Oryctolagus cuniculus: one gene and its partners. The protein of the gene in region 1 interacts with the protein of each later gene in a pairwise test. Links are inferred from orthologs where the notes say so. Each region holds a gene or a part of one and is shown in the gene's direction. Other genes may lie near its edges.

Region 1 (2,734 bases):
AGAGACCACACAGTAAGGCCATCAACACTGGTGACAGATGAGGACAGGGAACCGCGTGGCGGTTACCAGGTGAACCGGCAAGGACACGGAGCTGATGAGGATGGGGGGGGTGGAAACAGCATTGGGGAGCAGGCAGACGCCCCCACACACACCTTGGGCCCTGAGTCGTGAGCACCAGAAAGCCTGGCCTGCCTTGGAGAGGGCAGGTACCGTGAGGACAGCCGTGGGCCACAGCGGTGGGTTTTGTGGGGATGCTAACGAGGATTAGTCCTGGTGGAAGCTGGGACCTGCTGAGTGCTGTGCTGTGCGGTGGCAGCCGAGGGGACAGGGACCGACCCCACTCTGCAGCTGCACAGAACTCTGAGGAAGCCGGGGCGGTGCCCGCTGCCCCCGCGGCTCCACAGTGCTCTGCCATCTGCTTCTAGGCACCTCCACGCCCACCTTTGGTCAGAACGCCTCTGCCCCCGGAGTGGGCGCGTCGGGCAGCAGCCTGTCCTTCGGGGCGTCCTCCACGCCCACCCAGGGCTTCGTCGGCGTGGGAGCTTTCGGTAAGCAGCAGTGGGCTTGGCTTCCAGGCTCTCGCGATGGGCGCCCCACCCCTGCCTGCGCGCTGGAGGTGAGGAACCCGGGCACCGGCCATCCTGATATGTCATTGACTCTTTCCAGGGTCGGCGGCCCCTTCCTTCTCCATTGGTGCGGGATCTAAAACCCCAGGGGCCCGACAGCGACTGCAGGCCCGAAGGCAGCACACTCGCAAGAAGTAGCCTCGGTCTCCTGCCTGTCTCCCACCTCCCCCCCACCCCACCCCCGTCCCACCCGGCACCCAGGCCCGGACTCTGCCTGCCAGGAAGAGCCTCTGACCCTTGGAGTTGATTGAGTAAACTTCTCCCAGACCTCCGGCCTCGGCCGCCAGCAGGGAGGGGCAGCGGCGGGGGCTGGCCCTTGACTTGAACAGTCGCCCTGGTGAGCCCCTGCCTCCCGCCTCCCCCGGGAGCCCCGTGCACACTGGACGGGACTGGGAGCGGGCTGCCTGAAGCTTGACCTTGCCTGGCTGGGCTGGAGGAAGTGGCTCCCCCGCGGGCCCCCGAGGGGACCCTCTCTCCCTGTTTCTCGCTGCTCTGTTCCTCGCAGGATTTTCCCTCTTGAATGACCTTGAATCTAGCTTTGCCTTGGAGCCCCCAGAGGGTGCCGCTCCCGCTGCCCCGTCCCCTCCTGCCAGGTCACTCAGTGTTTTCGTCTCCCCCTAAGAGCTCGGCGGCTGAAGACTGTTAGCCTGGCAGATCGGGGGGGAGACGCCGCGCCCACCTCCGGGCTGTGTCTGCCTCTCGGGGATTGTACGTTCTAAGCCTTGTCCTGTGTCACTAGTCCGATGCGCGTGTCTATCGCTCTTTGAACCGAGTTTGGAGGAAGAATCAAATCGTATGAGTGGCGGCATGTTGGTAGTGCCGGACTTGTTTCCCGACTGTCCTGGGGCCTCGCTAATTGAACGTGGCGGTAACACCGCTTCACGGCCACGCGTGCTGACTCCTGAATTCTCCAGTGGTGTTCTCACTCTAAGGGCTGGCAGCCCACGAGGATGGGCCGGGGGAAGCAGAGCCCTCCATGGAGGCAGGCACCCCCGTCCGCGTCAGGAGACCTGACGTGATGGCCCACGACCCAAGGTGACCTGGCCGCTCTTCCCACACAGGTGCCCCAACACCGCCCCTCCCCCAGGCCCAGGCGCCTTGCTGCCAGCCCAGCCTCTTTGGGAGAAGTGTGAATGCGTGTGTCTAAATTAAAAAAATATTTAAACATTTTTTAACAAAATAAAAATTTATTTTTGTATTTAAGCTAAATTGCCTTTTAAATTCCTTCAAGCTTGGTTCACTGAGGTGGTTAAGTGTAAATGCTGACTAGGAGTAGCGTAGTGAGTTCTGCCTGTGCGTGGCCCGGGCCGCTCCTGGGGCTGTTTTAGGAACAATGTGATGTAGGCGTGACCCCCCCCCCACCCCGCCTGCAGGTGTCGCGCCCGGCCACTTTACCTCAGCTGCACCTGCACAGGCAGGCCAGCGGCCAGGGGCCCCTGCAGGGCCCGAGTGAGTGAGAGGGTGAGTGGATGGCGTGCGCCGGCAGGGGCTTCCCGTTACGGACACACGGATGTAATTCCTGTTGAGTCTAGTTGGAATTTTTAGTATGAATGTGAGATTTTTCTCCTTGCTTATGTCATTAAGAATAAAAAACTGTGATCGATCTCAGGCCCTGTCCTGCCTTTTCTTTCCCGGGGACAGCCACCGGGTCCAGCCGCTGGGGGACAGCACAGCCGCTGCTACGGCCCCGGTGCGGCGCAGGGGTCACCTGCCGCTTTCCGCCGTCTCTTCTTCCTCTTGGGGCCTGGGCTGAGTGGTTCCGGGGGCGACGCTGTGGCCTGGGAGGCTGAGCTAGAAGAAACGGCCCCAAGTTACGTGTGCCCCCCACCCCATCCAGCATCCTCCCGGCAGGCCCCATCCCCTACCCACGCCCTCACCTGGGTACTTGCACCCTTTCGAAGACAGCAACGAAGAAGCCGCCGGTGAGGGTGGTCTCGGGGGAGGCCCGGAGGCAGTGTTCAGCACCTGGGAAAGTGCCGAGGCCTCGGTGGGGCCAGGCAGGGAGCACAGGAGCGAGCCTGCGGAGAGCAGCGGCTCAGGCCCGGGCGGGGGGGGTGGCGCAGGCCGGGGCGGGGCAAGGGCCCGGAGGGAGGGGGCGCAGGCCGGGG
Region 2 (3,500 bases), on another chromosome or scaffold:
CATTTTGAGTTGTACTCTTTTTTTTTTAACTTTTATTTAATGAATATAAATTTCCAAAGTACATCTTATGGATTACAGTGGCTCCCCCTCCCATAACTTCCCTCCCACCTGCAACCCTCTCCTTTCCCTCTTCCTCTCCACTTCCATTCACATCAAGATTCATTTTCAATTCTCTTTATGTACAGAAGATCAGTTTAGCTTTTTTTTTTTTTTTTTTTTTTTGACAGGCAGAGTGGACAGTGAGAGAGAGAGAGAGAGAGAAAGGTTTTCCTTTGCCGTTGGTTTACCCTCCAATGGCCGTCGCGGCCGGCGCGCTGCAGCCAGCGCACCGCGCTGATCCGGTGGCAGGAGCCAGGAGCCAGGTGCTTTTCCTGGTCTCCCATGGGGTGCAGGGCCCAAGCACTTGGGCCATCCTCCACTGCACTCCCGGGCCACAGCAGAGAGCTGGCCTGGAAGAGGGGCAACCGGGACAGAATCCGGCGCCCCAACCGGGACTAGAACCCGGTGTGCCGGCGCCGCTAGGCAGAGGATTAGCCTAGTGAGCCGCGGCGCCGGCCCAGTTTAGCATATATTAAGTAAAGATTTCAACAGTTTGCACCCACATAGAAACACAAAGTGAAAAATACTGTTTGAGTACTAGCTATAGCATTAAATCACAATGTACAGCACATTAAGGACAGAGATCCTACATGAGGAGTAAGTGCAGAGTGACTCTTGATGTTGACTTAACAAATTGACACTCTTGTTTATGGCATCAGTAATCACCCTAGGCTCTTGTCATGAGTTGCCAAGGCTATGGAAGCCTTTTGAGTTCACCGATTCTGTTCATATTTAGACAAGGTCATAGTCAAAGTGGAAGTTCTCTCCTCCCTTCAGAGAAAGGTACCTCCTTCTTTGATGACCTGTTCTTTCCACTGGGATCTCACTCATGGAGATTTTTTTTTTTTTTTTTTTTTTGCCAGAGTGTCTTGGCTTTCCGTGCCTGAAATAGTCTCATGGGCTTTTCAGCCAGATCCACATGCCTTAAGGGCTGATTCTGAGGCCAGAGTGCTGTTTAGGACATCTGCCATTCTATGGGTCTGTTGTGTATCTCGCTTCCCATGTTGGATCGTTCTCTCCCTTTTTTATTCTATCAGCTAGTATTTGCAGACACTAGTCTTGTTTATGTGATCCCTTTGGCTCTTAGTCCTATCATTATGATCAGTTGTGAACAGAAATTGATCACTGGGACTAGTGAGATGGCATTGGTACATGCCACCTTGATGGGATTGAATTGGAATCCCCTGGTATGTTTCCAACTCTACTGTTTGGGGTAAGTCAGCTTGAGCATGTCCCGAATTGCACATCTCTTCCCTCTCTTATTTCCACTCTTATATTTAACAGTGATCACTTTATTATTTATTTGAGAGAGAGTGAGTTACAGAGAGAGAGAGAGAAGTCTTCCATCTGCTGGTTCACTCCCCAAATGGCCACAACGGCCATAGCTGAGCCAATCTGAAACCAAGAACTAGGAGGTTCTTTCAGGTCTCCCACGTGGGTGCAGGGGCCCAAGCACTTGGGCCATCTTCCACTGCTTTCCCAGGCCCTAGCAGAGAGCTGGATCGGAAGAGGAACAGCTGGGGCTCGAACTGGCATCCTTATGGGATGCCAGCACTGCAGGTTGAGGCTTAGCCCACTACGCCCCAGCATTGGCCCTGCCATTGTCTTACAGAGTAAATGCTCAATAAATATTTGAGTTTAATTATATGTGCAGTTAATTTGACTTTTCTCTCCTATAGTTCAGTTTATGGTAGGAGCAAATTAAGCAGATTCAATTTTACTAACTCTTGAAAATTAAAAAAAAAGTGATCTAAAAATTCACTGACACTGTCTTTCATGTGGGTTTTTTTTTTTTTTTTTTTTTTTTTAGATTGATTTGTTTATTGGAAAGACAGTGGCAGAGAGAGAAGAGAGTGAGATAGTGAGAGAGATTTTCCATATGCTGGTTTATACCCCAGCTGCCTTCCACAGCTGGAGGTTAAGTCTCCCCTGTGGGTGGCAGGAACCCAAGTACTTAATCCTTCATTGCTGCCTCCCAGGGTTCATTAGCATGCAGCTGAATCAGAAGTGCACAGTTGCAAAGACTCAGAACCAGACACTCAGATATGGGATGCTGGCGTACCAAGTAGCAGCTTAACCTATGGTGCCACAATGGCTGCCTCCATACTATACAGGAAATGAACCTTTCATGTCACATCACTATATTGAATGTTTTTTGATTATGTTTCTGAGAAGTGAAATCTGGAAATTTATAGTTCCCTTTACTTTTATTTCTGTGCATCCCTATCATAATTAATAGTTTAAAAATTATGAGGGACAAGTGCTGTGGTGTAGCAGGTAAAGCCACCACCTGCAATATTGGTTCTAGTCCTAGCTGCTCCTCTTCCGATCCAGCTCTCTGCTATGGCCTGGGAAAGCAATAGAAGATGGCCCAAGTCCTTGGACCCTTGCACCCGTGTGGGATACCCAAAAGAAGCTCCTGGCTCCTGGCTTCAGATCGGCTCAGCTCCAGCCATTTTGACCATCTGGGGAGTGAACCAGCAGATGGAAGACCTCTCTCTCTCTCTACCTCTGCCTCTTTATCTCTCTGTAACTCTGCCTTTCAAATAAGTAAATAAATCTTTAAAATAATTATAACAACTTGGGGTGGGCGCTGTGGCTAAACCTCTGCCTGCGATGCCAGCATCCCATAAGGACGCCAATTTGAGTCTTGGCTACTCTTCCAATCCAGCTCTCTGCTATATATAGCCTGGGAAAGCAATAGAAGATGGCCCAAGTGCTTGGGGCCCTGCACCCATGTGGGAAACCTGGAAGAAGCTCCTGACTTTGGATTGGCAAAGCTCTGGCCATTGCTGCCATTTAGGAAGTGAACCAGTGGATGGAAGACCTCCCTCTCTGTCTCTCCCTCTCTCTGTAACTCTGCCTCTCAAGTAAATAAATAAATATTTTTAAAAATTATGACAACTTCCAAAAATCGTTTCTTGGCATATGCTAAAATATAATTTACATTTTGATTTGTTTTTGAAAATATTAATATATTTCCCATTTTCTTTTTCTCTTGATTGCTGTAGGATCTTGGCCTTACCACTGTTTGGGAAGACCAGCTTTCCTATCTTTTATCACCAGCTTTGGCTTCTTATGAATTTGAGCGTACAACAAGTATATCTGCAGGCAATGAAGAATTTCAAGATGCCATAAGGAGGGCTGTACCTGATGGTCACACATTTAAAGGGTTCCCAATACATTTTGTGTACAGGAATGCTAGGCGTGCATTTGCCACATGTCTTCGGTAAGATATTATTTATGGATTGATAAATGTTCTCGCTATAGGCATCCTAGATGTTTACTTAGGAATGACATCAGAATCACATGGGGGAGCTGTTAAAATGACTTAGCTTTCTTGTGCAGATTTGATCCATGAGTTCTGGAAAGTATCTACTTAGTTTGGGCCAATTTTCCTA
Region 3 (4,035 bases), about 7.6 Mb from region 1:
TTCCCTCCGCCACGGGCTCCCGGGAGCCCCCGTGCGCTCAGCCCCCAGGACTACGTGGCCACCATGGCGGACGCCCTCAAAATGAACAAGAACGTGGTTCTGGCCCGGGCCTGCGGGGCGCTGCCCCCGGAGCGGCTGAGCGGCGGCTCCCGGGGCCCCTCGGCGCCCCACCACGTGGACGTGTGGCCCCTCAACCTGCTGCGGCCCCGGGGTGGGCCCGGCTACGTGGACGTCTGTGGCCTCTTCCTGCTGCAGATGGCAACCATCCTGGGCATGGTGCCCGCCTGGCACAGCGCGCGGCTCCGCATCTTCCTGTGCTTGGGGCCGGGCGAGGCGCCCGGGGCGGCCGAGGGGCGGCTCCGGGCCCTGCTGAGCCAACTGCGGATCCGGGCCGAGGTGCGCGAGGTGGTGTGGGGCGAGGGCGCCGGGCCCCGGGAGCAAGAGGAAGAGGAAGAAGGGGACTTCGTCAACGGCGGGCGGGGAGAGGCGGAGGCCGAGGCCCTGGCGAGCAGCGCCAACGCCCTGGTGCGGGCCCAGCAGGGGCGCGGCACAGGCGGGGGCCCCGGGGGCCCTGAGGCCAGGGATGGCCAGGAGGGGCCCACCACGGCCCTCACCTTCCTGTACCTGCCAAGGCCGCCTGCCGACCCCACCCGCTACCCCCGCTACCTGGCGCTGCTGGAGACCCTGAGCCGCGACTTGGGCCCCACGTTGCTCGTCCACGGCCTCACCCCTGTCACCTGCACTGACCTCTGAGGCCAGGCCCCAGCTCATCCGGATTCCTGGACGATGAAGAGGGAGGGGCCACCTCCCTCCGGCCCTGCCCTTGGGACCTGGAGCCCCCCCCGCCCCGACCCCCAGGTGCAGATGCTAGGTGTCCTGGGCTCGGGCTGACCCGCCTCCTATGGGAGGGGACCCAGGGCACGGGTACCCCCGCCCGCCCGCCTGCCCGCCTCTCCTCCACTGGTGCCTTGACGGGAGGGGCTGGTCTCCTCTGCGACCCTAGGCTACCTCAGCCTGGGGTGGGGACGTTCCCTGTGTTTTATTTTTCTAACTGCTGACCGTGAATAAAAGACCAAAACACTACGGGCTGGCCTGACACTGCTGGCGGGTAGGTGAGAGGGAGGTGGTGGGAAGAGGTCGGGTGGTAGCAGGGGTGGAGACCGGGAGCTTCCAGGGCCGCAGCGAGGCTGCCACGTGCAGGCTCGGGCGGGCCGGCCCGGGCCTGCGCCTCCCACCCCGAGCCGCCCGCAGACCCCCGTGACTCGGCTCCCAGCGAGAGCCCTCCCCTCTCGGCAGGAGGGGGCCGACTGGGGGAGGGACCGCAGATTAGGGCCTAGGGGGCCACGTGACCCTCCCCCAGGAATGCGGTGACGTCACAGGGGGCGTGGCCGTCCCCAAAATTAGGGAGGAAGGGGAAAAAAAAAAGCCAGAAAAAGTTTCTTTCCTGGAGTCCCAAACGAGGTGTAGGACGGAAGAGGGGGCCGAAGTCAGAGGCCCTGGGCTCCGAGAGGCCCTGCCTGCTGTCTGGGGTCTCCTCACCCCGTTCCAGACCATGTCGGGGCCCACCTGGCTCCCCCCAAAGCAGTCGGAGCCCACCAGAGCCCCTCAGGGGAGAGCACTCCCTCGAGGTGCCCCTGGGCTGCCACCCACCCACGGAACAGGTAAGCAGCCCCTTCTGCGCCCGCGAGCCACCGGCTGCCCAGACTCACCTCTGCCCGCTCCCAGCCTGCTCCCTGCTACCCCTTCCCCTGCCAGCCGGGGGCCAGCCGCCTGTGGCCGCCTACGGCCCCCTGAGGAGGAGCGGAGGGGCCGGGAGGGCAGCGTCCAGGAGGGAGCCCCCTTCTCTCCTCCCTGGTCCCCACCTCTGGTCTCTCTTCCCCCCACCCCAGCACTCCAGCCCCACCCCAGGGTCAATTTTTGCCCCCTCCCATCTGAGCAGTGTTACCAGCCCCCCGGGGGACGCGATGACCGGGGGCCAGCCTGGGTGGGGTCCCACGGAGCACCCCAGCGCTCCCAGGTGAGGACGGCAGTGGGAGGAGGTGCGATGTTGTGAGCAGGGTGGGGGGCTGGCTGGAGGGGCGCCGTGGTGACTTGCCTCCTCCCTGCTTTGGCTCCTTCCCCAGGGGCTCCCCCCAGACAGGGGGGGCCTGCGCCCCGGCAGTCTGGATGCTGAGATGGACTCGCTGACCAGCATGCTGGCCGAGCTGGATGGGGGCCGTGGACACGCTCCCCGCAGGCCGGAGCGGCAGGTGACTGCCCCCACGCCTGGCCTGCTGCCCTCTGTGGGTCTTCAGTGCCAGTCCCCCCCTCCCCAGGGCCCCCAGCTCCCCTCTGTGTTCATCAGCCACTGGCGGGGAGACCTGGGTGGGCTTTGCTCACTGCTCCCCGTGTTTCTCCCTAGGCTTACGAGGCCCCTCAGCCCCCTGCTTACCGCGCAGGCTGCCTGAAGCCCAACGGAGGGGGTGCCCCAGCCCCTCCGCCACCAGCATCCCCCTATGGGGGCCCCACACCGGCCTCCTACGCTACCGCCAGCACCCCAGCCGGCCCGGCCTTCCCGGTGCAAGTGAAGGTGGCACAACCAGTGAGAGGCTGCGGCCCGCCCCGGCGGGGAGCCTCGCAGGCCTCTGGACCCCTTCCCGGCCCCCACTTTCCTCTTCCAGGCCGAGGGGACATCTGGGGGGGTGGCTATCGGAGCCACCGTGGGCCTGGGCCGGGGGGGAAAGAGGAGACTGTCGGGGTGTCTGGCTCTGCAGGAGGACCCAGAGGAGGCGGGCACGGGCCGCAGGTGAGCCAGGGGTCCTGGAGTTCAGGACCTTCCTAGATGATGGGTGGGTGGGAGCAGAGCCGCAGGCCTGGGGCGTGGAGCAGCTGGGGAATTGCAGAGGGGAGGGGTCCGAGAAGCTCTCAGGGGAGGAGCCTCCTGGGTTGGACCCCCTGGGTGGGAACCCCTGATTCCCGCCCCCAGGTCCCCCTGAGCCAGCCTCCGGAGGAGGAGCTGGAGAGACTGACCAAGAAGCTAGTGCAGGACCTGAACCACCCGCCCAGCGGGGAGTACTTTGGTGAGCGGGTGCCGCGGGCAGGGGACGGGAGGGTGGCGCGTCTGGCCAGGGTCTGTGCGGGGTGACCCCGTCCTTTCCTGTCCCCAGGCCGATGTGGCGGCTGTGGAGAAGACGTGGTCGGGGATGGCGCCGGGGTCGTGGCCCTGGACCGTGTCTTCCACGTGGGCTGCTTTGTGTGTTCCACGTGCCGGGCGCAGCTCCGGGGCCAGCATTTCTATGCCGTGGAGAGGAGGGCGTACTGTGAGAGCTGCTACGTGGTGAGCCCCTGGGGCTGGGGACACTGGGGTCTGGGCACTGGCAGCGGCAGGCAGGGGCCTTCCTGCAAGGTGGGGGCCGGATGTCTGAGCCCAGCAAAGGAACAGGGCTCGAAGCTGGGGCACTCAGACTGATGGACAAGAAGAGAGGCATTGTGGGAAGGAAGGAGCACCGTCCTGTAGGAGTAGGAGACATTTTATCTATCATCACCATTATTATTATTAATTGATTTGTAAGGCGGAGAGAGAGCCCAGCTTCATCTGCTGGTTCACTCTCCAGTTGCCTGTGACAGTTGGGGCTGGGCTGCACCAAAGCCAGGAGCCTGGAACTCAATCCAGGTCTCTCCCGTGGGTGGAAGGGACCCAAGTCCTTGAGCCATCATCTGCTGCCTCCCAGCATGGCCACGGGCAGGATGCTGGCGGGCAGTGGAGCCAGGACTCCACCCCAGTCACTCTGATCCGGGTTGTGGGCGTCCCAGGTGGCCTCCTAAGGGAACAGGGTTAAATTCCAACCCCAGCCAGGCAGGAGTTTTACTACCGGTGCCCGGTTTACAGGACACTGACGCTCAGAAAAGCCGAAGCCAGACTCGGATCTACGCAGGTCCACCTCTCACTCACACGCAGGGCGCTGTAGAAACAGCCAGGCGGGCTGTGGGGGCGCCCGTTGGGTTGTTTAGCTCCCGGCTCCCCGTCCTTCCAACAGGCCACCCTGGAGAAATGTT
Region 4 (2,215 bases), on another chromosome or scaffold:
CTCTCCCTGCTTCTCTTTGGGGACTGATGCTCATGGTTGCTGTGCGGGACCCTCGGGCTGTCTCCGTGCACCAGCCAAGGGACACGGAGAGAGTCTTCCATCCGCTGGTTCTCTCCCACACGGCTGCGGCAGCCCGACAGAGCCGGGCCAGGCTAAAGCCAGGAGCCAGGAGCTCCATCCGGGTCTCTCGCGCAGGTGCAGGGGCCGCAGCACTTGGGCCATCCTCCTCTGCTCTCCCAGGCGCATGCGCCGGGAGCTGGCTGGGACCCAGCGCTCTGACGTGGGGGGAGGGGCGCAGGGGTCCCACGCGGTGGCCTCCGTCCGTCCTGTCCGTCCTGTCCGCGCCCTGCTCCGGCCGGGAAGATGGGGTCCCCGGCTTCCTCCCAGAGCCTGGCCCGCCACCAGACGCAGGTCTTTGATTTCTGGGAGTCACACAGGGGTCAAAGGTCATCTGCCCCTCCCCCAAGAGCGGTCCACGGTTTGGGGGCTGCTTGTGCTAAAGATCATTACTCCCCAGGGGGCTGTTCATGGTCCCGGGGTTTTTTTGCACAAACACCTGGCTGTGTGCTTGTTACTATTTTCTCTTAAAAATTATTTTTCTACTAAGGATTTTTTACGCAGCCTACCCTTCCTGGAACACAGGTATTGCTTGCATTAGGTTGGAGTTCAGTGTGGATTCTTAGTACCGGAAAACAAGAACCGGACAGCTGCCTTCTTACTGAGTGCAGATGCGGCTCGGAGCACCCCCCCGCCCGCTGCACCCCCAGACCCCCACTCTCTGTTATGAAGGGCGGGGGCCCCTGCCCGCGGCGCCGGCATCCCCCATGGTCGCAGGTTCGAGTCCCGGCCGCTCCACTTCCGATCCAGCTCTCTGCTGTGGCCTGGGAAGGCAGTGGACGATGGCCCAAGGACTTGGGCCCCACGTGGGGGTCCTGGTGCAGCCGTGGCTGTGGTGGGCATTTGGGGAGCGAACCAGTGGATGGAAGACCCCTCTCTCTCTCTCTCCCCCCTTCCCAGCGCTCCCACCGTGGCTGGGGGTATTAATGCCACCTCCGTGAACTCCCCACCCGCCCACTCTGCTCGTGGGGACATCATTCTCCAAGCCTGCCCCCCCTGCTTCCTGTTTGTGGGCTCAGGGGGTGCGCAGCCCCCTCCCACAGCGGCAGAGCCGTGGGGGTGGGGGTGATGTGCTGTGGAGGGGGGCGCTGGGGGTCCCGCTGACGCCTGCCCCTCCCCTCCTCCCTCCAGTTTGCTGAGAAGTTCCAGGAAGTGAAGGAAGCGGCCAGGCTGGCTCGGGAGAAGTCCCAGGACGGCGGGACCGAGCTCACGAGCCCGGCGCTGGGTCTGGTCTCCCACCAGGTCAGCCGGGCACCCGACCGCACTGGGCTCGAACACAACCCAGAGCTGTGGGGGGCGTGGTCACCAGCCCCGGTGCCCAGCTGGGGTCTGCACCTGCAGGGTCGGGTGAAAGGGGAAGCCGGCAGGGTGGGGGGCCCAGGGAGCCACGGAAATCAGTCGAGGAAGGGAGGGGAGGGCCTGCCCGGTGACACCCGCTTGGACACGTCCCTGATGGACGCCGCCGCCCACCCGCAGGTGCCTCCCAGCCCGCTGGTCAGCGCCAATGGCCCCGGCGAGGAGAAGCTGTTCCGCAGCCAGAGCGCCGACGCCCCCGGCCCCACCGAGCGGGAGCGGCTCAAGAAGATGCTGTCCGAGGGGTGAGGGGCGGCGGGGAGGAGGGGGCGGCGCCTGGCAGGCGGGGCCGGCCCCGCCCCTCACCTTGGAGGGGATCGCTGGCCCTGCCCCTCCCACGCCGCCCCCAGACTCAGGGAACCCAGCGACACCGCCTCGCGCCCTACCCTGGCTACGCCCACCAGTGCCCGCCCCCAAACCAGGCCCCGCCCCTCCACAGCGCTGTAGTGCCGCGCGCCCGCCCTTAGCCAGCTCACTACGGCGTGCCCGCCCCAGCAGGCCCCGCCCACAGTACCGCCCCCTAACCAGGCCACGCCCCCAGCTCGCTCCGTACTGCAGCGCGCCCGCCCCCACCCAGGCCACGCCCATTAGCCCGCGCGCGCTCCCGCTCGCCCGCCCTCGGCCCCGCCCCGCCCCGCCCCCTGCCGACCCTGGCGTCTCCGCAGCTCGGTGGGCGAGGTGCAGTGGGAGGCCGAGTTCTTCGCGCTGCAGGACAGCAACAACAAGCTGGCCGGCGCCCTGCGAG
Region 5 (4,285 bases), on another chromosome or scaffold:
ATCCTCCAGTGAACAGAAAGCAGGACACAGACCATGATTTTGCAGCTCCAAACAAGATCTACTTTCCACTATCTGCATCTGGTTGACCACAAGACACCTGGGATTTGGTGCCGGCCCTGCCCCACGCTGGGACCTTCAAAAAAGCATTTGGTATGTGCCTCATTCTCTTCATCTGCATGACGAAGGGGTTGAATCGAATATTCTAACACCTGAAGAGACCAAGGATCCACCAAACAGCATTTCCAGTTTTAAGCCTTTAACTCAAATAATTGTTTTCAAACACCTAAAGAAATTCTCTCTATGGATTTAGAACCACAAGTCAGTATTTTGAGAATCATTATTTTGCCCACAGAACTCAAAGCTCTATTGAAATCGTGTACATACTTGAAAATGTTTTGAGATATTATGATGTGAACTATTTTACAAAGGCATGTGATGAGGCTTGCATCTTTTAGTTACTTTTGTGTTCAACACTGGGAAGGGCAGGTGTCTGCTTAAGCAATCACTTGAGACACCCACTTTCCATATCAGAGCTCCTGAGTTCAAGTCCTGGCTCCGGCTCCTGACTCCAGCTTTCTGCTTGGAGGCAGCAGGTCTTGGCACAAGTACTCAGGCCCCTGGCACCCATGAGGGAGACTTTGATTGAGTTCTATCTCCTATCTCCCACCTGGCCCAGACTGGGCTGTTGTGGAAGTGAACCAACAGATGGAAGATATCCCTCTGTGTCTATCTCACTGCTGAGTAAGAAATAAAAAGAACATCTCCATCCTAAACTTTTAAGTTAAGTTCTAGTCTTAAAATCCTCAAGTAACCAAACAATCTCAAGTGAAAAAAAAAAAGTCATAGGCCTCAGTTTCTAGGTCTGAAAAATGGGGTAAATGGCTTCACGTAGACCTAGCAGGAGCACCTGCCACTGAAGAAATGAGAAAGAACACCTTCGAGGGGAGTTGCTATTGTACCCAATGGCAAGGCAAGTACACCAAGCTCATACTGTTAAGTTGCCTCTTGTCAATTACTTCCTTAGCTTTGAAATATTATACAAGCACTTGATTTATATTTTTTTACAGACCTGTGGTTAATGTACCTTTACTTTTTGCCAAGAAATGAGAAGGCCATCATGAAAATAATTTGTAACATAATAGAAGATCACAGGTTCTAGGATTACAAGGGTTGGGATTGTGAATCATTTCAGGGATGTTTTCTGCTAAATAAGGGCAATATGCCCAAGGGGAATGTAAAAAAAAAAAAAATCTACAAACTACACACCCCATCCAATCACGTAAAGACAAATCAGCCTTCAGGCAAATCAAAGGTCTTCCACTAAGCTTACCTGGCTTTGGCACTCTGCCCACCCTTCTCAAGCCTCTTAGCAATATACTTTCACAAACAGTTAAAACATGCATAGTAAAAAAGGACTCTTTTTGCAACGATATTTTTTCAAGCAGGGAGCTCTTTTACTCAGAGAAGACCATGGTTCGGACAAAGGAAGGTCCATTTCCGAGTTAGTCCCGTGCAAACACAGGATTAGTGGGTGGGAGAGAGGTGTGCGCAGATGCATAAATAGAGGCTTGCGCTGCTGGCACAGGCAGAAGCTTGGACTGCGTCCTGAGCGTCTCGCACAAGGCAGGTGGGAGGGGAAATCCAGGTAAGGATTCTGACAACAGCTCGGGAAGGGCACCTGCTAGAGGGAGCTTTGGGCTCCTATTGCTCTGTAAAGTTGCGTGCAGTCAACAGAGAAGTGCAAGTGTCCGAGGGTGGTGAAGTGGGATTTGGAGAGGGGATCGTGCGATTTCCAGAGGCTTCCTGGGGCCTGTCTTTGGTAGAACTGGCAGAGTGTTGCACTCCTGAGTTTCCTCTGTAGGAAACAAAAGTTGAAAGAGTGGGTGAATGCTAGGGATTCTCAAGCCTGGGTTAAGGACCGGAGATTTCTATCTTGGTTACAATCTACAACTCTGCTTCTCTCGCACTGGCTGATGCAAAGGAACCTCAGGTAGGATGCCCCAGTGGCAACACAAGGGGACTGCGAAACACTGGTGCAAAATGGAATTCAGAGATAAATTTCTTTTGGTGCACAACAAGTTGAAATCCACATATAGCTTTTCCGTAATATGCATTTTCATGAACTTTCTTAAGATCTCCTCATATGCATGGATTTAAAAAACTTTCTGCAGCAACATAAACCAATTTTTTAATTCCATTTTTCATAAACATTGAGAAGTACCCTAGCATATTACTGCCATAAGTAACTACTTCCTCTCTGTGTCTGTTTTAAAGATACAGTAGTTGCTTCTTCAATCTTTAAATACACGGAATAGACTGTCAGAGGAGAGAGTCAGGGTTGCTTTCCTAACAGGAACACAGGCATTGAAAACTCCTGCAAATGTCTCTCTTGTGAAAGATAAGGTGAGGCTATAGTGATCAGTAAAACTGCTGGTTTCACTGTGTGTGTGTGTGTCTCCAAATTATCCATCTCTTCCATGGTTAGCCTTGGGTTTTAAAGTGGTTTATCCAGGAAATTGGTAGACCAGAGTCTGTTCACGCTAGGAAAAGAGTGAATCTCAGAAAGTCATCCAGAGCAGGATGTTTGTACAGCAGAAGTTCCATTAGTCTTTCTGAGTCATCCTATCATAAAATGCATGTAATACATCAATAGCTCCAACCTCTAACCTATGGAGCTATTACGAGGGGTCCTAATAGCCACTTGTACAACAAGACTTGACAGTGGACTAATAAAACACCTCATCAGCCATTTAGTGTCAGTTTTTAAAATACACATAGATGTCATCTTAATATACAAAACCCAATGTTTGTGGATAAATTCAAAGTAGTTATTTGTCATGATATACTTAGTTGGTTCAAACATCTAATTAGCCTCACATAAAAGTTCTTGATTATTTTTAACATCAAAAATAAGCCTTCACACTAAGAGAGCAGTACACTTGAGTTGCTTCTGTAGAACTGAATTCTAGAAGACAAAAATTATTACTGACATTTCCGCATCCCTATAGGCTTAGAACATTCAGAAATTCTATCTCTGCTCTTTGCTTATGTCTTTTCTGATTAAGGTGTTTTGTGGCTACATACTGTGGCGTGAAGAATAACTGGGGTTCATAACTTGGAAACGCCTTTCAATTTTGCTAATGCTAAGCAAAGTTTTCCATTCAAGCCAACAGATCATGAGACGCACTCTCTCTTAAAAACACAGAGCAATGACAGCTCATCCTACTTCCTCTGCAGAGTTTGTTGACTTCTCTCTAAACCTACACCAATATTAGCGCTAGATGCGATAATTTTGTATTGACTTTTAAGCAATTTTAGTGTCTGGCTTTCTGAGAAATGCAAAGCTCCAGCTTCCCATGTTATGGCCTCTAGCCAACCTTAGCATCTTGCTCAAGAGACTCACTTTGCTTGCCTCCCTGCCTCTTCACTCACTCGGGGAACTCATCTGACCATTCACCGTCCATTCATAGGCGTCTACCCCAGCTTCTCCCAAGCAGTAGCTGTGGAACACCAGGAAGGAAGGAAGAATGTAACAGAGAGACATCCATGGGGTCTACTTCACTACATTATGAATCTCATAGGATATTTGTGTGCCTTAAAGGGCATGCCACATCACCTGCCAGTAAAGGCCCTCAAGGAAAGTCCAAGAACTGCTTCACTTGAAGGAAGCGGCATTGTAGTCAATTCAAAGCTAAGATGGAGTTTGAACAAATGCTACACTTGGGAGACAATTGTGTTCATGCAAGTGGTAGGGCAAGTGACAAGGCTGGCAGGTTCTAAGTGAAATAAGGCATCATTTTATTCATAGTGCGTTCTTCAGTGGCAATGTCTCCATGTTAACAGGAGGTTAAGGAAGTATGCGTAGTAAGGGTAATTATTTCATGGAGGGAAGACCCAGAAGCCTTTGTTCTAGATCCATCTCCTAAACCTTCTCATCTCTCTGAACTTCAGATTCTTCATCTTATACCATGAGGCACTGGGGAGGTGGAAAAGGAGGAGGTAACCCCACAAGTACCTTCCTGTGCTGTAATTTGTGACATTTACATGGAAATTTCTTTAGCTGTAAGAGTATATATAGCTAATTACCTATTTTCTTATATCTAATATATCTAACTTATCTATTTCTGGGTAACTATATATCCATTCAGAGATCTACATCTTTGTATCTAGAGCTATGTGGATCTATATCTATTGATAGATGGGTGGGTAGGCAGATAGATACATAGGTAGGTAGATAGGTAGTTGGTAGATGAGGAGGTAGATAGGTTGGTTAATAGGTGGATAG
Region 6 (4,208 bases), on another chromosome or scaffold:
TAAAACAAGTACACTACAAAAAATATTTACTGACTTGTGCAGCCAGTGCGCAGTGACTTTGACCCTGGAACCGAGGCCTCCTGCCTGCATCACTGTGCGACCTTGCCTTGATAAACCCGTGTGTGCGGTTCCTAAGCCTGCAGACACTGCAGTCTCTACTGGGAAGTTCTCACTCTAACATGTGACCATTACTACTGAGGGGTTTATTTCTTGATTTTACTTTTTTGCCCTCATATTTTGTCCTAGTGACCCTATCCCCTATGTTCCATATGGGGGGAACAGGTGGAGATCCGAGGAGAGGCAAGGGTTGCTTTGTACCTGATCAGTAAGGCGAAGGTGATTGCCACAACCTCCAGAAACCTCTGCAGAGGCCCCTGGAGCTCATGCTCAAAGCCGATCAAAGCCGATTTGATTACCTGCACCAATTCCAGAAGTAGTTGAATTCAGCCCAGTCTGCCGCTTCGGGGGCCGGAGCATAACCTCTCTAAAGCCAGGGGATTCTCTCAAGAGTGGCACTGCAGGAATGGCTCCAGCTACTGCCCTCTCCCAGAGCACACGGGGGAGCCGCCTGGAACCTCCCGCGGGGGGCCTGGCAGTTACTCTTGGCCATCTTTCAGGCCCAATCCTGGGTAAGACACTAACTGCCACCCATTGGTCAGGCTCCTCCCAATGCTGAAAAATTGCTCAGCTGGGCACTCAGAAATAGGCTCAGGATCCATTTCCTGCAGCACAGACCATGAACTTCGTTACTGCAAGGTTACCTGCAACCCCTCCCACCAAGACGAACTCCTTGCTTAACAAAAAGCAAACCCTTGAGGCCCCACTGAGCGCTGACCCCTCGCAGGGCGAGATCTGTCCCTCCCCCAGCCGACAGGCCTGTTAGTCCCCAGGACGGGACTTGGTTTAAAACCCAGCTTCTCCCCGAGGGGGTCGGGACGCCAGGAGCGCTTGCACCCTACAGGGCCGGGAATCTGCGGGAACCCAGGGGCCGCCCGCGAACTGCACCCAACTCTGGGGAAGACAAACCCCCACGGCCAGCCACCGTTTCCACTCTTGCGCTTCCGCAAGATCCGAGAAAACGGAAAGGACCGGCTGGGCGGCAAACCCCAAAGAGGAACGGCCCGGCAGGTCTGTGTCCTCGGGATCCCTGCAGCAGACGACCCCGAGTGCAATCGGCCGTGGGAAACCCCAGGGAGAGAGGAGGGCCCTGCAGGGTCGGCCTGGCCGCGCGCGGTCCGCAGGGAAGCACCGGGGCGGCGGCGGCCGCCGGGCCCGGAGGACTTTCCAGCCACTCAGCGCGCAGCGAGAAGTTCCCTGGACATGACCCCGGTGGGTCATCCCAGGGAGTTTCTCCGATGAACCCCGGCTCGGAGTTTAGGCTGCCTTTTTTTTTCCCCTAGCAGAGGACCAAGCCAGTTCTCTTTTCTGGTCTGACTGGCTTGGAAATTCCCCGCGCCTGACCCCGCCCCCAGAGAAATTCCCCGCCAGCGTTTATAGGGCGGCGCGGCGGCGCTGCCGAGCCCACAACAGTCGCAGCGCGCCGCCCGCCAGGAGCCGGCGACAGGACGAGGACGCCAGCGCGCAGCCCGCGGCCGAGCACCTGGGGAGCAGCGCCATGTTTCAGCCGGCCGAGCACGCTCAGGACTGGGCCATGGAGGGGCCCCGGGACGCGCTGAAGAAGGAGCGCCTGCTGGACGACCGCCACGACAGCGGCCTGGACTCCATGAAGGACGAGGAGTACGAGCAGATGGTGAAGGAGCTGCGCGAGATCCGCCTGGAGCCGCAGGAGGCGCCGCGCGCCGCCGAGCCCTGGAGGCAGCAGCTCACGGAGGACGGAGACTCGTAAGTGTCGGGGGGCTGAGGGCCGCGGGCCGGGCGGGGGGCGGCCGGGCCTGCAGCGCGGGCCCCGGGGCTGCAGCACAGCCGGGCTGGAGGGGGGGGATGGCCGTGCAGCGCCGCCGAGTCTGCCGCAAAGCTGCGGGGCGGCCGCGCGCGGGCCGGGGCTCCTCTGGGGGCTCCTCGGGCCGGCGGGGAAGGGCGTGGACGGCCCCGTCCCCGCACACCCCGAACCCCGCAGCCCGGCGCTCGCGGCGGGGGGCGGCGCGGCGGCAGGGACGCCGAGTCCCGGGTTGCATAAGGCGGGCGGGCGGGCGGGCGCCGCGCGGCCGGCGGGGGAAGTACAGGGCGTTCCGGGCCGCCGGGAGGGCGGGGCGGCCTGGCCGGCGCCGCCGCGGGGGGGGCGGGGCCCGGAAAGTCCCTGGGCGCCTGCCAGGAACACTCAGCTCATAATAACCCCGCGGAAAACACCGCGGCCCCGGCTCCAGAAACCCCGGCCTTGCGCAATCCCCCGCAGGCCGCGCCTCCCCGGGGCCCCACGCAGTGCGCTCACCGCCCCTTGCGGGGGGTTTTCCCCTCTCTGGCCTGCAGGTTCCTCCACTTGGCCATCATCCATGAAGAGAAGGCATTGACCATGGAAGTGATTCGCCAGGTGAAGGGAGACCTGGCCTTCCTCAACTTCCAGAACAACCTGCAGCAGGTGCGCCTGTCGTCCCCAGCCCTGTGCCCTCTGTGACCTCGGGATGCAGTCGATGTGGCACAGTCCTCCCCACCCCTAGCTCTCTGAAAGAACAGCCACAGGTCCTTACCTGCCCTGGCCTTTCACATTCCAATAAGCCGGTCTCCTGCAGAGTTAAAAGCCCACGGATTGGGTGAGGTCTTTGCGACCCACCCGGGGCCCTGGTCTTTGGCCCCCTGTCCCTGTCTGGGAGGAGCAGCACCCACCCCCGGGAGATGTCTGCGGCTCAGGGGCACTCGGAGGACGACTTTGCGCCGAGGCTTATCTGTGCTCGCTCTCCCACTCGTAGACGCCGCTCCACTTGGCTGTCATCACTAGCCAGCCAGAAATTGCTGAGGCACTGCTGGAAGCTGGCTGTGATCCTGAGCTGCGGGACTTTCGAGGAAACACTCCGCTGCACCTTGCCTGCGAGCAGGGCTGCCTGGCCAGCGTGGGCGTCCTCAAGCAGACCTGCACGGCCCAGCACCTGCACTCCATTCTGCAGGCCATCAACTACAACGGTACGCTGTGCTGTCCCAGGCGGGCGGCGCGGGGGAGGCGGGCTGGCCTAAGGCGTGCAGGGCAGAGCTTAAACTCCCAGCTTGTGAAAGCAGGAGGAAATGAGTATCAAGCGCCTGTCTCAGGCTGCTGGAATGTTCATTCAGAACCCAGATTCGGGCTCCTTAGAATTCAGGGGCCACATGTGCTTGTCCCATGAGTGACTAGGGGGACGGTGAAACAGGTGGTGATGCTCTCTTCCTTCTGTCCGTCTAGGCCACACGTGTCTGCACCTGGCTTCCATCCACGGCTACCTGGGCATTGTGGAGCTGTTGGTGTCCTGGGGTGCTGATGTCAACGCCCAGGTGAGTGCCTCACGAGCCAGGTGGAGTGCTGCTCTTTGCCAGCAACATGTCAGCCACACTGGCTGCACGCAGGAATGCCAGACGCCTCCTAAGCATCTCACACTCCTCTTGGCTCTAGGAACCCTGCAATGGGCGCACGGCCCTCCACCTCGCCGTGGACCTGCAGAATCCGGACCTGGTGTCGCTCTTGTTGAAGTGCGGGGCCGATGTCAACCGGGTCACCTACCAGGGCTACTCCCCGTACCAACTCACATGGGGCCGCCCCAGCACCCGGATCCAGCAGCAGCTGGGCCAGCTGACCTTGGAGAACCTCCAGAGGTTGCCCGAGAGTGAGGACGAGGAGAGCTGTGACACGGAGTCGGACGGCACGGAGGACGAGGTGAGCCCCATCCCCTACCCTGCCAGGCCCCTTCCCTTGAGCAGCCCTGGGATATTGGATAGAGCTCTCCGACTGTATAGAACCCCCCCCCCCCAATAAAAATAAAAGTAGCTTACCCTTCTTTAAGCAGCAAATCCTTCAAGGGAAATGCACTCAGCCTGTCAAGTTCATTGCACGGCGGGTGGGGGGATCGGAGCTGCAGTCGCAGCCAGGGCCCTGGCCTGCGGCCTGCAGCCCCGGGCTGGGCCTTGGAGGTTTACTCTCCTCTTCTTCTTCCAGCTGCCCTATGATGACTGCGTGTTCGGAGGCCAGCGCCTGACCTTGTGAGCACCAGGCGCCTGGAAAGCACGTGGACTTGTATATTTGTACAAAAAGAGAGTTTTATTTTTCTAAAAAAAAAAAAAGGAAAAAG
Region 7 (3,500 bases), on another chromosome or scaffold:
CCCAAGAACTCGGGCTGTCTTCCACTGCTTTCCCAGGCCACAGCAGAGAGTTGGATCAGAAGTGTAGCAGCTGGGACACGAACTGGGGTCCATATGGGATGCCGGTACCATAGGTAGAGGCCTAGCCTACTACGCCATAGTAGTGGTCTCATCGGTCTTTTTTTGCTATTGCATTTTCTAAAAATTATTTCAAAATATTGCCTATATAAAAGATAGACATGTGCAGACTTCTGTAGAAAACAAAAGTCTGTGTAGATCTTTCCCGAACTCAGTGATGCTTGATCGTCCAGTTTGTTCCCTTTTTTCTTCAGCTTTGCCATCTTGTCTAGTGTAAATTCTTGATTTGGGAGTATTTCATCTTAGAATTAGCAGAGTATTTGAAATTTTCCTGTCTTCCTGCCCTTGAGTTTAGGAGCCCTGGTTGAGAAATGTGGTGTTCCATAGGCTCATTTTTTTCTTTTCTCAGTCTCTTGCTTTCTAATCAACTTGTTGGGAGAAGTTGGTATTCATTTAGTTAAGGTTAGTTATTTACACTTTGCAGATCACATGAACTTCGTCAGATCTTGCTGGTGTTGAAAGTGGTATAGGTCAGATGTAGCCACTTAGCAGGTGACAGGTCAGAGGCACAGGGTGTGTGTTTTCTCTAGGATCACACAACCACATGGTGTTAGAGCCAAATCCAGAACTTTGGTGGTTCTTCTCCCCTCAAGCCATTGCTATTTGAAAGTTCCTGAATTTTCTGCATAGTTCCTACCGGTCAGCTGACTCCAGTGTGGTTTTGTTTTTTTTTTTTTTTTAATTTATTTATTTATTTTTATTTATTTATTATTTTTTTTGACAGGCAGAGTGGACAGTGAGAGAGACAGAGAGAAAGGTCCTCCCTTTGCCGTTGGTTCACCCTCCAATGGCCGCCGCGGCCGGCGCGCTGCGCTGATCCGATGGCAGGAGCCAGGTACTTATCCTGGTCTCCCATGGGGTGCAGGGCCCAAGCACCTGGGCCATCCTCCACTGCACTCCCGGGCCACAGCAGAGAGCTGGCCTGGAAGAGGGGCAACCGGGACAGAATCCGGTGCCCCAACCAGGACTAGAACCCGGTGTGCCGGCGCCGCTAGGCGGAGGATTAGCCTAGTGAGCCACGGCGCCGGCCGGTTTTTTTTTTTTTTTTTTTTTTTAAAAGATCGATTTATTTATTTGAAAGGCAGAGTGACAGAAAGTGGTGGGGGGAGGAGAGTGTGCTTCCATATGCTGATTCACTTCCCAGATGGCTGTCATGGCTGGTGGTAGGCCAGCCAAAGCCAGGATTCCATCCAGGTCTCCCTCGTTGGTGGCAGGGGTACTTGGGTACTTGTCTCCCTGGTGCGTTAGCAGGAAGCTGGATCAGAAGCAGAGCAGCCTGGACTCAAACTGGCACTCTGATAGGAGATGCCAGCATCACAAGTGGTGGCTTAATTCACTGTGCCACACTGCTAGCCCCCAGCATGCTTCTCTGTTACGCAGAGTCTACTACCTGGCATAGGTGTTCTGCGATTCCACCACCATGATTGTTCGAGTGGTTTTCCTTTCAGACAAGCAAGCAGCTGGCAGCAGCATTCCAGGAAGAGTTTACAGTGCGAGAGGACCTGATGGGACTGGCAATTGGGACTCATGGGGCCAATATCCAGCAGGCCCGAAAAGTACCTGGAGTGACCGCCATTGAGTTGGGTGAAGAAACCTGCACTTTCCGCATCTATGGGGAGGTCAGCAAAAGATCTGTCTTCAAGATCCTGTAGTGGGTAGAGGGAAGGGAGTGGGAAATAAGCCTAAGCTATGTGACTTTGCTGAACTTGGCAGCATATCTTCCCAAAGACAGGAAGATCGTTATTTGAGATCCAGGTCCTGTTTTAGTGACGCCACTTCATTCTTCCCCTAGACGCCAGAGGCATGCCGACAGGCTCGGAGCTACCTGGAGTTTTCTGAAGATTCAGTGCAAGTGCCCAGGAACCTGGTTGGTGAGTTGGGTGTGTGTGTATAAAAGAGAGTAGTTAGGGGCCAGTTGTGAGTCTCCTTAAATGACTCTGGGCTTGTAGTGGGTATTGGTAACTCTTGATTTCACAAGGACAGAAAGTCTGTAGTCGGAATAAAAAAAAAAAAAAAAGGAAGAATAAATTTCTAGGGATAAAATTTTTTACTTTCATTTTAGTAGAAAGGTAATTACATTTTTTCTTTTTGTTTTAATTTGACAATTAGAGATATAGACAGAAAGGTCTTCCTTCTGTTGGTTCACTCCCCAAATGGCCGCTATGGCCAGCGCTGCGCCGATCTGAAGCTAGGAGCCAGGTGCTTCCTCCTGGTCTCCCATGCGGGTGCAGGGCCCAAGGACTTGGGCCATCCTCCACTGCCTTCCTGGGCCACAGCAGAGAGCTGGACTGGAAGAGGGGCAACCAAGACTAGAACCCAGCGATCATATGGGATGCCAGTACCGCAGGTGGAGGATTAGCCTAGTGAGCCATGGCACCGGCCCCAAAAGGCATTACATTTTCCATCCACTAGTTCACTCTCCAAATGTCTGTAACAGCTAGGGCAAGGTCAGGCCGAAGCCTGGAGCCCAGAACTCCATCTGGGGTCTCCCTCATGGGTGGCAGGCAGGGACCCAAGTATGCATGAGCCATCATCTGCTGCCTCCCAGGGTGTGCACTAGCAGGGACCTGGATTGGAAACTGAGTAGCTGGGACTCGAACTAGGAGCCCCAGTAGGGAACATGGGCATCCCAGCAGCAGTTTACTGTTGGGTCAGACATCCGTCCTTTCTGTAAAACCTAACCAACAACTTAGAAGCAGGAGAATTAACGAAATGCAATCTGTACAGAGAGAGAAGGATGAGGCTGGGAGGCTGTTTTGACCTTACCTTTAAAAAAAAAAAAAAGGCCTAATTCCTCCTTTACCCATTTAGGCAAAGTGATCGGAAAGAATGGGAAAGTGATCCAGGAGATCGTGGATAAGTCTGGTGTGGTGAGGGTGCGAGTGGAAGGTGACAATGACAAGAAGAACCCCAGGGAGGAGGTATGGGCCAACTAGGACTAGAGGTTGGTTTCCACAAGTAGGTGGGCTTGTTCTCTGAGGGCTAAGACTTTGGGGGCAGGGAGGATGCACAGAAATTCTGTAGCCGCTCTAGTAACTTTAGAGCTAGACTGATGCCATTGGGTGGGTTCCCCTGGCGACTGGATGGGGCTAGCACGTGGCGTTCTACTATTCTTCCTGATCAGCTTTCCTTCCCTCTGCTCTCAGGGGATGGTTCCCTTCATATTTGTTGGCACTCGAGAAAATATCAGCAATGCCCAGGCCCTGCTGGAGTATCACCTCTCCTACCTGCAGGTACACGAGTCTGAAACCTGGGGAGGGAAGGGCTGGGCAGAGCAGGGGCCAAGACTGCTGCCAGATAAAGTCCGCAGCTGTGGCGTGCGGCTCGTTCCTCTGTAGAGTGGGAATGGGAGGTGGAAATGTGGGGCTGTGGGACGGGTCACA

Evidence for each region.
Region 2: the proteins of POM121 (region 1) and CEP76 interact in binary tests that used the Homo sapiens proteins (3 or more experiments, as listed by UniProt). The two-hybrid records come from large-scale screens. The link is inferred for Oryctolagus cuniculus from reciprocal best matches to the Homo sapiens genes POM121 and CEP76.
Region 3: the proteins of POM121 (region 1) and TRIP6 interact in binary tests that used the Homo sapiens proteins (3 or more experiments, as listed by UniProt). The two-hybrid records come from large-scale screens. The link is inferred for Oryctolagus cuniculus from reciprocal best matches to the Homo sapiens genes POM121 and TRIP6.
Region 4: the proteins of POM121 (region 1) and HOMER3 interact in binary tests that used the Homo sapiens proteins (3 or more experiments, as listed by UniProt). The two-hybrid records come from large-scale screens. The link is inferred for Oryctolagus cuniculus from reciprocal best matches to the Homo sapiens genes POM121 and HOMER3.
Region 5: the proteins of POM121 (region 1) and AGR2 interact in binary tests that used the Homo sapiens proteins (3 or more experiments, as listed by UniProt). The two-hybrid records come from large-scale screens. The link is inferred for Oryctolagus cuniculus from reciprocal best matches to the Homo sapiens genes POM121 and AGR2.
Region 6: the proteins of POM121 (region 1) and NFKBIA interact in binary tests that used the Homo sapiens proteins (3 or more experiments, as listed by UniProt). The two-hybrid records come from large-scale screens. The link is inferred for Oryctolagus cuniculus from reciprocal best matches to the Homo sapiens genes POM121 and NFKBIA.
Region 7: the proteins of POM121 (region 1) and FXR2 interact in binary tests that used the Homo sapiens proteins (3 or more experiments, as listed by UniProt). The two-hybrid records come from large-scale screens. The link is inferred for Oryctolagus cuniculus from reciprocal best matches to the Homo sapiens genes POM121 and FXR2.

The regions. Positions count from the first base shown.
Region 1 is NC_091450.1:50,656,969-50,659,702, reverse strand, and holds the end of POM121 (nuclear envelope pore membrane protein POM 121), read left to right. Parts: intron 1-425; coding exon 426-548; intron 549-666; coding exon 667-764; 3' UTR 765-2,234; downstream 2,235-2,734. Other genes in the region: NSUN5 (28S rRNA (cytosine-C(5))-methyltransferase), read right to left, coding at 2,306-2,417, 2,504-2,644. UniProt on the Homo sapiens protein: Essential component of the nuclear pore complex (NPC). The repeat-containing domain may be involved in anchoring components of the pore complex to the pore membrane. When overexpressed in cells induces the formation of cytoplasmic annulate lamellae (AL).
Region 2 is NC_091441.1:69,537,029-69,540,528, reverse strand, and holds part of CEP76 (centrosomal protein of 76 kDa), read left to right. Parts: intron 1-3,110; coding exon 3,111-3,328; intron 3,329-3,500. UniProt on the Homo sapiens protein: Centrosomal protein involved in regulation of centriole duplication. Required to limit centriole duplication to once per cell cycle by preventing centriole reduplication.
Region 3 is NC_091450.1:43,009,056-43,013,090, forward strand, and holds the start of TRIP6 (thyroid receptor-interacting protein 6), read left to right. Parts: upstream 1-1,235; 5' UTR 1,236-1,552; coding exon 1,553-1,661; intron 1,662-1,889; coding exon 1,890-2,017; intron 2,018-2,123; coding exon 2,124-2,249; intron 2,250-2,401; coding exon 2,402-2,785; intron 2,786-2,965; coding exon 2,966-3,059; intron 3,060-3,146; coding exon 3,147-3,316; intron 3,317-4,016; coding exon 4,017-4,035. Other genes in the region: SLC12A9 (solute carrier family 12 member 9), read left to right, coding at 1-753. UniProt on the Homo sapiens protein: Relays signals from the cell surface to the nucleus to weaken adherens junction and promote actin cytoskeleton reorganization and cell invasiveness. Involved in lysophosphatidic acid-induced cell adhesion and migration.
Region 4 is NC_091447.1:65,893,257-65,895,471, reverse strand, and holds part of HOMER3 (homer protein homolog 3), read left to right. Parts: intron 1-1,248; coding exon 1,249-1,359; intron 1,360-1,593; coding exon 1,594-1,715; intron 1,716-2,135; coding exon 2,136-2,215. UniProt on the Homo sapiens protein: Postsynaptic density scaffolding protein. Binds and cross-links cytoplasmic regions of GRM1, GRM5, ITPR1, DNM3, RYR1, RYR2, SHANK1 and SHANK3.
Region 5 is NC_091447.1:8,432,188-8,436,472, reverse strand, and holds the start of AGR2 (anterior gradient protein 2 homolog), read left to right. Parts: upstream 1-1,485; 5' UTR 1,486-1,645; intron 1,646-4,285. UniProt on the Homo sapiens protein: Required for MUC2 post-transcriptional synthesis and secretion. May play a role in the production of mucus by intestinal cells. Proto-oncogene that may play a role in cell migration, cell differentiation and cell growth. Promotes cell adhesion.
Region 6 is NC_091443.1:40,158,302-40,162,509, forward strand, and holds the start of NFKBIA (NF-kappa-B inhibitor alpha), read left to right. Parts: upstream 1-1,408; 5' UTR 1,409-1,615; coding exon 1,616-1,842; intron 1,843-2,427; coding exon 2,428-2,536; intron 2,537-2,864; coding exon 2,865-3,075; intron 3,076-3,328; coding exon 3,329-3,417; intron 3,418-3,535; coding exon 3,536-3,796; intron 3,797-3,912; exon of another isoform or gene 3,913-4,075; coding exon 4,076-4,123; 3' UTR 4,124-4,208. UniProt on the Homo sapiens protein: Inhibits the activity of dimeric NF-kappa-B/REL complexes by trapping REL (RELA/p65 and NFKB1/p50) dimers in the cytoplasm by masking their nuclear localization signals.
Region 7 is NC_091448.1:52,159,767-52,163,266, reverse strand, and holds part of FXR2 (RNA-binding protein FXR2), read left to right. Parts: intron 1-1,565; coding exon 1,566-1,736; intron 1,737-1,909; coding exon 1,910-1,988; intron 1,989-2,928; coding exon 2,929-3,038; intron 3,039-3,263; coding exon 3,264-3,350; intron 3,351-3,500. UniProt on the Homo sapiens protein: mRNA-binding protein that acts as a regulator of mRNAs translation and/or stability, and which is required for adult hippocampal neurogenesis. Specifically binds to AU-rich elements (AREs) in the 3'-UTR of target mRNAs.